Linked DNA regions of Drosophila melanogaster. The protein of the gene in region 2 purifies or fractionates together with the protein of the main gene of each other region. This does not show direct contact. Each region holds a gene or a part of one and is shown on either strand. Other genes may lie near its edges.

Region 1 (5,736 bases), on a different chromosome or scaffold from region 2:
CCACGACCACATCGGCGAAGCCATTCGTTGTCTACACAGTCACCGATGGTAATGAGGATATGGACATATCGAATCGCGGCTTCTACTTGTCGTATTCGCAGAACGCGTGTCCAATTCTGTAAATATGGTATACAATAAAAGACTTGATAATCATAGCATAACAAAAAACCGTGATACATATCTGGAGAAGAGAAATTGGGGATCCTTTCGAGGAATTTGGACGAAGCATCTGGTAAATTTAAACATTAATTAACATACGAAAGTGTAAAAACAATAACCATTTCCGATTTAAACCAATATTCGTTTGATTTCGTGAACTTAGCAATTAGCAAAAATGATCTAATAGGAATTTAAAACAAATTCAAAAAAAATATCTGTAGTATTTTGCGGTTTTGGTGACAAAAGAGTTAGCGGTTTAAAACGGAAATGTCTAAATTTTCCGAACAGAAATTGATATTTGAATTAGATCAGTGACAAGTAGTTGAGTATTTTTATGCTTAGTGCCTTTATAAGGTACGTTGCGCATTTAATAAATATTGCAGTCTTTAATTCTAAACAAACAGATGACTTAGGCGGATGTAAGTCAATAACAATGGCATTATCTAAGCTAATTGTTATGCAGTGCATTAGGACAATACTGCCAGCCGAGTGAGACTGTTGATTTCCGCCTCCAACTCTTTGACCTACAATAAAAAACCAATAAAAATAATGTCGCATGGAATCAAAACTTTATAGCACATTACCTTATTTTCGAAATGTGACTTAACTTTCTTGTCGGCCATCAGTTGGAAGGCTTCGTTATCCAGGCGCATGCGATACCGCTGCAATTCGGTGACCAACTTCTTCAGTTTTTTGGCATTGGCCTTCTGCATTTCGTCTCGTTTTTCCGGCGTCAGATCCAATCCATCGCTCAATTTCAAGCCAAAGGAGCAGAGTGCTCCTGCCGTTGAGAAGTAGCTGAGTTGCTTCGAAATCTTTGAGCTCTCGTCAAACAATTCCAGTTCCACGTCTTCGCAGCGAGATAACACCTTGATCTGCGGCAAATGACGACGAAGCACTCCTTCCGAGTCCGTATTCTGGGCAAACAAACTGAGTTGCGGATGATGGCGCTTGCTAATCTCATTGCGACTCTTAACCTGTCGCACATTATGGCAGATGTTCACTATTTCGTTGACCTCTTCCTCCAACTTTTCATCCTTGTAGTCGGACAGTTTAAGCTCTATATTAAGGGGCACATGCTGCAGTAATTCGGAAGCCACAAAGGGAGCATACGGGGCCATGGCCTGCAGTCCCCAGCTAAGGCAAGCGGTCAGGGTGCCCACATGGATGTAGGCATCAGCACTGCGATTTCCTATCGCAGGTTTGGTTGTTTCCTGTCGATTTCAGCAGCTTTTGTTGATGCTGAGTAACAATTGAATGACAACCAACTTACCAAGTAAGTATCACAGAGATATTGATAGAAGAAGGTCTTCAGGGCTGCTGTGGCCAAGTGGAAATTGTAGTTGCTGTAGCTCTGCGAGCAGACAGACAAGGTCTCCGCGAGGCGTCCGACGATCCAGCGATCCCAAAGGCCCAGATTCACACCTTCAAGAGTCTCAAACTGATGCAGCGAGATTCCCAGTCCCTTGGCTGAGCCGAGGGTAAATCGCATAGCTTGCCATACTTTGTTTAGGAAAAGCTTATTGGTGTGGCAGGCGTTCACATCGAAGCTAATGAAGTGACTCTTGATGTTGTGGCTCATCAGGGTGAAGCGTAGAGCATCGGTGCCGCACTCTTGAATGCCATTGGGGAACATTTGCGTCATTCCAATCGTGGAGGCCTTTAACTCTGAAGGCGTAATAATGCCCGCCTCGCACGATTGCTCTAAGCCAGCCTTCAGGCTCTGCAGATGTAATATATCGTTAAATTTTATTCTTGGCAAGAATGGCCTAACTTACCTCTAAACTGGCGCCCTGAACCACCTGCTGTGGGGCCACGATGTTGCCGATACTCTTGGACATCTTCCGGCCATGAGCATCGCACACAATGCCGTTTAGCAAAATTCTCTGAAAGGGTGCCTCGCCGGTCAGCTTCAGACCCAACATCATCATGCGCGCCACCCAAAAGAAGATAATATCATGGCCAGTCTGCATTATGTCCAAAGGATATCTTTCTTTGTAGCTCTCCTCTGGCCAACCGGCTGTGGAGAAAGGCAGCAGCGATGATGAAAACCAAGTGTCCAGTACATCCGGATCACGTTTCAATGTAAATTCTTCGCTACCAATAAGTCTCATGGCTTTCTGCCTAGCTGTCTTCTCGTCAAGGGCAGCCACCCATTGACTGTTTCCCTGGGAGTCGATGACCTCGTATGCGGGCACCTGATGCCCCCACCACAACTGCCGGGAAATGCACCAGTCGCGGCTATCCTGTAGCCAGCGTTCCCACTCCGTTTCGAAGTTCGGAGGCAGGATTTGCAGACGTCCACTATGAAGTTCAGATAAGGCATCCTTTGCCAAGTCTTTGCACTTAAGAAACCATTGCGGCAATATCATGTACTCTATGACGTCCTTGGAACGCGAGCAGATGGGCAACTGCATGGTATGAGAGCGCACCTGTCGCAGCAAATCCATCTCTTCCAGGCGATTGACGATGAGATCTCGCGCCTCGAAGCGCGGAATACCCTTGTACTCAGAATAGGCATCCACCACAAGACCCGTTTCAGTAAAGACCTGGCGAGGTTCAAGCTTATGGCGAGTGGCCAGCTCGAAATCAAATTTGTCATGGGCTGGTGTGATTTTCACTGCCCCGGTGCCAAACTCCTGGTCCACGGTGATATCGAAAACGAGTGGAATGGTGTCGTCACGGAAAGGATGCTTGAGCTTAACCTGATCAATGTTTCGGTACTTGGCGTAGCGCGGATCCAGCGGATGTACTGCGACAGCTACATCACCCAAAATTGTCTCTGGTCTAGTGGTAGACACCACAATCTCTTCAACCGAACCATCGGGCAGTGCTTCACCATCCACTACGTGATAGGCGAAATCGTACATTCTGCCAAAGAGTACTTTGTGATCGTAGCCTGGAACGGATATCTCTACCGGCTCCGTGATCTCTACACTGTCCACCTCGATATCAGATATCGCGGAACGTAGAGCGGTGCACCAGTTGACAACCGAGTTGCGCCGCTGAATTAGGCCTTCTTCAAAGAGTCGCTCGAAAGCTACGTTGACCGCATGCGCCTGCTGCTCATCCATTGTGAAGTATTCTCGTTGCCAATTCAGTTTACAGCCGAGTTGGCGGAGATCCTGTACGATACCAGCACCCTTTTCCGCCTTCCAGCGCCATACTTCGTCCAGAAAAGCAGAACGTCCCAATTCATGACGGGTTTTCGCCTGAGAAGCGGCAATCGTGCGCTCTACGACCACCTGGGTGGCGATACCCGCGTGATCTGTGCCTGGTACCCAGTCCACCTGGTAGCCAAGCTGTTCGCGCTGGCGGGCAATCACATCCTGCACGGTGGCCATCAGTGCATGGCCCAAATGTAGATTCCCGGTTACATTTGGTGGCGGTAGAAGCATGCGATAGGTCCCCCGCTTGCAACTGCTGGCTGAAGCCTTGGGCAAATTTGCCTGGCGATGCTCCCGCTCCCAGTAAGCATTTTCCACTGGTTGTGGCTGGTATCCTGCTGCCAAGGGAAGCTCATTAGCCGCATCTAAAAGTGGAAAAAAGTGAGTTCTTTAGCCGGCACTGGGGTTTTGAATGAAACTGGAGGTAACGCACCTTTAAGGGTACTGTAGTATAGAGAGTACACCCTTGGCTGGCACAGGTACTTGTGTCTGAGCAGTTTACTGCTACAATTCCCAATTATTTGCATTTTTAATGTTGTGTTATGTTATGTCAAAAAAAATTGTAATCTTATTGGTGATGGTATAAAAACAGCTGAGGAGATAATCGATATACGGCTTATGGGCGCCAATTTCAAACGAGAAACGGTAGAGCTTTCCTCCTCAATTTTTTTTCAAACTTCATTATTTATTTGATTTGTCAAAAGAGAAACATAAAACATCTCAGAGGGTACGTATGTGAATATCAGGATCCAATGTAATTTTTTTTAATTTATAAAAGAGAACAATTTTATTAAGAAACCATAAAGAAAAGTACGATAAAAAAATATATTTTTCAGGCACTGACACTGCATGAGGTGTAATGATCAATGAGCCGGTCTGCCTCCCGATAGCCCGCCTCCACAGCTCCGTGAACGGTGGAAAAGTGATTCCTGCTAGACGCTTCTCCGGCAAAAAGGAGGCCTAAATGACCATCTTCGCCCAACACAGGAGACTCTAGATCCCAGGGGCCCGTATTCCTTTCATCGGCCATAACTCCACGATAACTCCAACTGCCACGGAAATTCGGATTCGAAAACCACGAGCTGCGAACGAAACGCTTTGGCGGCGGAATTTCGAAAGTGAGGAACTTTCGGAAAAGCCAGTACAAGCCCTCAAGGACTTTCTCATCGGACAGGGTCTCCATGTGGCGTCCATGCGGACCATTCACCCAGGCCATCAACATTCGGGGCTGACAAGTGATCATGTGTACACCGGTTATACCCTCCACCCAGAAATATTCCGTCTTTCGCAGCTCTATCAGATCCTCTTCCAGCCAAAAGCAGAAGAAACCCACCCAGCCGTCAGGAAGAGGTTGCTTCTCATACTCCAAATACAGTTTGTTCACAGTGCCCAGGGTGAGGCTGCGAATGGCATTCACCTTGGCTGCGGGCAGCGGCGGGACGAACAGTTTCTCGTGCTGCTCCTGCAGGACTCCCAGGGAAACGGTGCAGATGACGTGGTCCGCCTCGAAGTAATCCCCATCCTGGCAGCGCAGGATTACCTTACGGGGGCACGCCAACTCAATCTTGATGACCTTCATATCAAGTTGAATACGTCCTTCCAGTAGACCCAGCTCTTCTGGCGTATCCGCGCTGACCTTCATCAGCAGCCGCAGGAAGCGCCGGTAACCCTTCGTTCCCCAGTGGAGCAGCTTGTCGCCATCACATTCGTGGTACTCGATGTGTTCCCTAACGGAGACCTCGAAAAGATTGTCCGCACCAATAATAGAGCTTTCATGCTTCGCAAATGTATTCAAGGCCTCACTAGCCACATCCCTATTCACTTGGGGTAGCTCGGACTCGATCTTGCGCCAGAAGGTCTGAGTCAGGTGGGTGCCAAAGGATCCCACAACCGGGTGAGGTCCACTCGGCATGCTCTTCACAGCAATGTCGTGAATCCTGCAGGCCAACTCATGTGGAACCACCTCCTTGTTGGATCTCACCCTCTTTATGGGACTGTAATAGTCGCCTGTCTCGTGCAGGATACCCATATCCTTGACCATGTCGTATACACAATTTTGCTGCTTTCCATGACACCACTGGGCTCCCAAATCGATGACGTTGTCACCAAAATACACGGTGTTGATCCGCCCGCCAATGCGATCCTCCGCCTCCAGGATCTGAACATTCTGGAAATTGTTTTGCAGGAGTCGAGTGGCGGCGGCTATGCCCGAAACTCCTGCTCCGATTATGATTATCCTAGAGGAGGCACGGCATTTTTCCATTTTGAAACGTTGGTAGTTAAGTTCGACAGAAAGAGCAGACGATCAACGAGCTACTGATGAAGTTTGTGGGCTAACTTGGCAAGTGATGGATGCTGCATTTCAATGGCTTCCACTGCGGTTGGAGTACAACTTTTTGCACACTCTGCT
Region 2 (3,948 bases):
CGAACGCCGATGGCACGACGGTGGGGTCGTTCTCCCTTCCCGATCCGCGCCTGATCACCTTGCTGAAACCCCAAGGGTCCTCGCAGCCCTGCTTGGCCAGCAGCATTTCGCGCTTCTGAATCCCGGTGACCAGTTGATCGTCCGCAATTAGCGCTAATCGGGCATGAGACCTGAACTGGAGATCTTTGCAAGCTGCAACCACTACTTACCTGACTTTTGCACCTGAGTTGTGGATATGGGACGCTGTTGAGGAGCAGCGGCTGATCCTTGCCACTGTAAACCTAGTCGTCGAAGCAAAGAGCTTAGCTTTCCGTCGCGCTGGGTTAAATTGGAGATCAGACGTTTGGAGGCGGACTGAGCCTTAAGTAGACGCGAAATGTAGGACGACATTTTTAAAGGAGTTTATCTAGAAAATTATGGTTATCACACGAGAATTTCCCACTTTGAGTGAGTTGAATCTGATCAAAGGGTTTTGAAAATGTTTGATTTCTTATTAAGACGCCTACTGCCTTATTAAAATTAAATTAGTTCTGCGATTTTAAACATTTTTAAACGAAATTCAACTTTCTTCTGTCTTTAGACAAGCTTTTTTAAAATAAATCCTTTGATTTTCACTCAAAATCTCTTCTTTAGACTTTATTGTTCGCTTTTTGTGTTAATTAAGCAATTTTCCTCGGCTGCGTTCGAAAACACGTTTGCAGATCTGAAAATGGAAGCTGTGCCGCCCTTTCACTCCTCTCTGTTCACAGTTTCGTTTTTTTTTTTTTTTTTGGGTTGATGTTTGTTTATTTGGACAGCTAAGTGGGTTGACTTTTAGCTTAGTAGTTGTTGTGTTTTTGTTATTAATTGGTTTATTGAATTAATTAATAATAACTTTAAACAGCTGCCTTCTCCACCAGCTTGAACCAATGGCCGCACTCACAACGTTTCTGGTTGCCCTTCTGCAGCCACATCCATTGCACGTAGGTCTGATCCTCTTCGCCTGGTTTGGAATGAAAGGTTTGTTAGAAAGTACTCTACTGGAATGATGGGCTTTATTTTTGGTCAGGATAAAGGCATTAAGGTTTCCTTAGTTGGAGTGTGTGCAATTATTCAAAATAATATATGAAAACGTTTAAACGCGGTGTGTAGCTAATCAGAGCTCAAAACTTAATTAAATTAAAGCGACTCAATTGGATAAATATTACAATGAAAGGAATTAAATTTTGCTTCGCACAGAAACGTCATTGAAATGCACCTAAACAGAATAGAATGCAAATTTTACGGCTGATAGAATACTCCAATCTCTGCCATTATCCTGACCGCAGCTGGTGTTGTTGGACTACTTACAGATGCAGCCCACAATGCGAGCATCGAAGGCCGATGGAATAAGGTTGGGGTTCTCCTTGGTGCCGGCGCCCCGCTTGAAGACCTTCATGTCGAAGGGGTTATCATTGCCGGCGGCCTTAAGCAGCAGCTCGCGCTTCTCGATACCAGTGGCGTGCTCCAAAGGATCGTTCATCACTGCAAGGCGGAGAAGTGGGAAACGCAATTAGGAATTAGCTCATAAATTGATAAGCGAATGGGTCACTGGTTACATAAACAGCAGACGCCCCAAACCCAGACGCTCCGTCACAAGTACAGCTCTTCGGAGGGGTAATCCCGGCCAGCTTCTGTCGAGGTGTTAACTCCGCACTGTGGTGTCACCGCTCCCCCTCTCCGACCATAAGTCGCACATTTCCCAGCGCATAGTTATTACATAACCTCGCACTTTCAATAGACACTTTTCTGTGGGTCCAAATCTGATGCTCTCCAGGTTAGTGGAGCACAGTGCCATGCTGGTCTTCCACCTGCACTCCAATATTATGCAATTCCAGGGCAGAAACTCCGCCAAATCGGCGAACGTGACCGAAAAGCAGCTGGCCGTGGGACTTCCCTCCGCATTTGCACCACTTACTTTTGCAGAAGCGCACGGGCGTGTAGGCAACATTCTGGCGTGCGGCGGCACGGAGCGCCATGCGTCCACAGATCGATGCCATTGTTCGTTTTGCGAAAATTTCGGTCGGTCTTAAGTGGTGAACACCAAAAATTCTTTCGTAATTTTTCACACAGCTATGGATCAGTGTGACCGCGGTAAAGTAAGAAAAAATACCACACGCTGCAGAAAATATGATATTGATACTTTCAAATGCTTGAGTAGACCAAATAAAAACAAACAAAGTGTCCTATTGTTATTCGTCGTAATAATTGGGAAATAAACTCTAGCTTAAACAATAAAGTTCTTAAAATAATAATAAACATATATTTTTGTTAGCAACCGATATACCACATTTAAAAAATTAATGTACAACGGTCACCCTACAGTGTGCAACAATCAACCGAACTTAAGTGTTGGAAAACACCGGCGGAACACTGGTATCGAAACCACAAGAGGGCGCCACTGCGTTGCCGGGCAACCAAATGTAAAAACAAAAAATTTTATTAAAAAGTTTATTGAATCTGCATGAAAAATGTCAAGCAAGCCGGTAATCTGCTTTGATACATCAAAAAATGAACGATTTCAAATATCGGACAACTACAAAATGATGCATCGCAAATTGAAGGTCAATTGGAATGTGGAACAGTCAGTATCCCAGAAATTATTTTGGCCAATAAGCAAACATTACTATAAAAACAAAACAAATATTTTTCAACTATCAAAATAATCAGCTCATACAGGTTTTCAAATAAATGATTGATCTTTAATATTTGCATATCCCACTTTCATAAAGGATGTTTTCCTTAAAACAAAACTTTTTTAAATGTAATACATTTTAGACTTAGGAATGAATCAAAAATCCAGAATGAACTATTATTAAATTATGTTTTAAAATGGATTTACAGAAATGATGCGGAACTCAGAATGGAGCGACTTGCTCGGGTTAAGATATTTGTTCTCGCCGGGCCACAGGACCGATTCACAGAGGATGAATTCGATGTGCTGAAGCACTACGTGGAGGTGCAAGGAGGCAGTCTGGTGGTGCTCCTGGGGGAAGGCGGGGAGCCGGAGTTCAATACCAACGTGAACTTCTTCCTGGAGCAGTACGGGATCTACATCAACGGCGACACTGTGGTGCGACCGCACTACTACAAGAACTTCCATCCCAAGGAGTGTATCGTTGGTGGTGGCGTTGTTTGCGAGTCCATGTGGCGACACCTCCTCAAGCTAGACATAGAGAAGGTGTACTACGATTTCAGTGACGAGAAGTACAAGATACACTTTCAATATCCCTATGGGGCCACGCTGAATGTATCGGAACCTGCCAATGTCCTGCTCACCACGGGTCCAGTGGTGTATCCCTTCAATCGTCCCTTGGTCGGCTACTTTACAAACGGGAAAGGTGGGAAAATCCTGGCGGTGGGATCTGGATACATTTGGCATGACAAGTATCTGCAGGACAAGACTAACGATGCCATGTTTGAGTACTTGATAAAGCTGCTTGGAGGCGATGAGATTACCTACAGTCACTTGGACTTCAATGATGTGGAGGTGGGTTAATTACCAACAGAAAGTTTGCAGCAAACTAATTGCATTATAATCCACAGCTGAGCGACAACAAGCACTTCACCGATATTGGGTTCCTGGCCGATATGCCAAAGGCCTGCCTGATCGATTCGATTGGAACCGACATGCCCACGGACTTCAAGCAGATGTTTGACATGAGGCTCTGCAGGCTGAGCAACCGCCTGCTTAAGGACGTCATGGATACCTACGAGCAACTGCATGTCAAGTACGAGCCGCTGAAGATCATCAAGCCGCAGTTCGAGATTCCGCTGCCCAACGTCCAGTTGGCAACGTTTCCGCCCATCTTCAGCGAGCCTTCGGCTCCGCCGCTGGAGCTGTACGATCTCGACGAGACTTTCAGCGGAGCTCGATCCCAGCTGGCGCACATGACCGGCCAGGTGCTGCAGGCGCTGCAGTCCAAGGAG

The links. Proteins that work in one complex are often made in the same cells at the same time.
Region 1: the proteins of COX5B (region 2) and ValRS-m purify together in Drosophila melanogaster (affinity purification with mass spectrometry, with the first as the bait; one large-scale study listed by BioGRID). This does not show direct contact.

The regions. Positions count from the first base shown.
Region 1 is NT_037436.4:8,960,774-8,966,509, forward strand, and holds ValRS-m (Valyl-tRNA synthetase, mitochondrial), read right to left. Parts: upstream 3,997-5,736; 5' UTR 3,854-3,996; coding exon 3,760-3,853; intron 3,692-3,759; coding exon 1,938-3,691; intron 1,883-1,937; coding exon 1,433-1,882; intron 1,374-1,432; coding exon 744-1,373; intron 684-743; coding exon 627-683; 3' UTR 501-626; downstream 1-500. Other genes in the region: CG13313 (uncharacterized protein), read left to right, coding at 1-122; CG5653 (uncharacterized protein), read right to left, coding at 4,159-5,589.
Region 2 is NT_033779.5:6,555,973-6,559,920, reverse strand, and holds COX5B (cytochrome c oxidase subunit 5B), read right to left. Parts: upstream 2,122-3,948; 5' UTR 2,019-2,121; coding exon 1,937-2,018; intron 1,504-1,936; coding exon 1,330-1,503; intron 983-1,329; coding exon 876-982; 3' UTR 613-875; downstream 1-612. Other genes in the region: COX5BL (cytochrome c oxidase subunit 5B-like), read right to left, coding at 1-153, 210-390; IFT52 (intraflagellar transport 52), read left to right, coding at 2,490-2,602, 2,863-3,508, 3,565-3,948.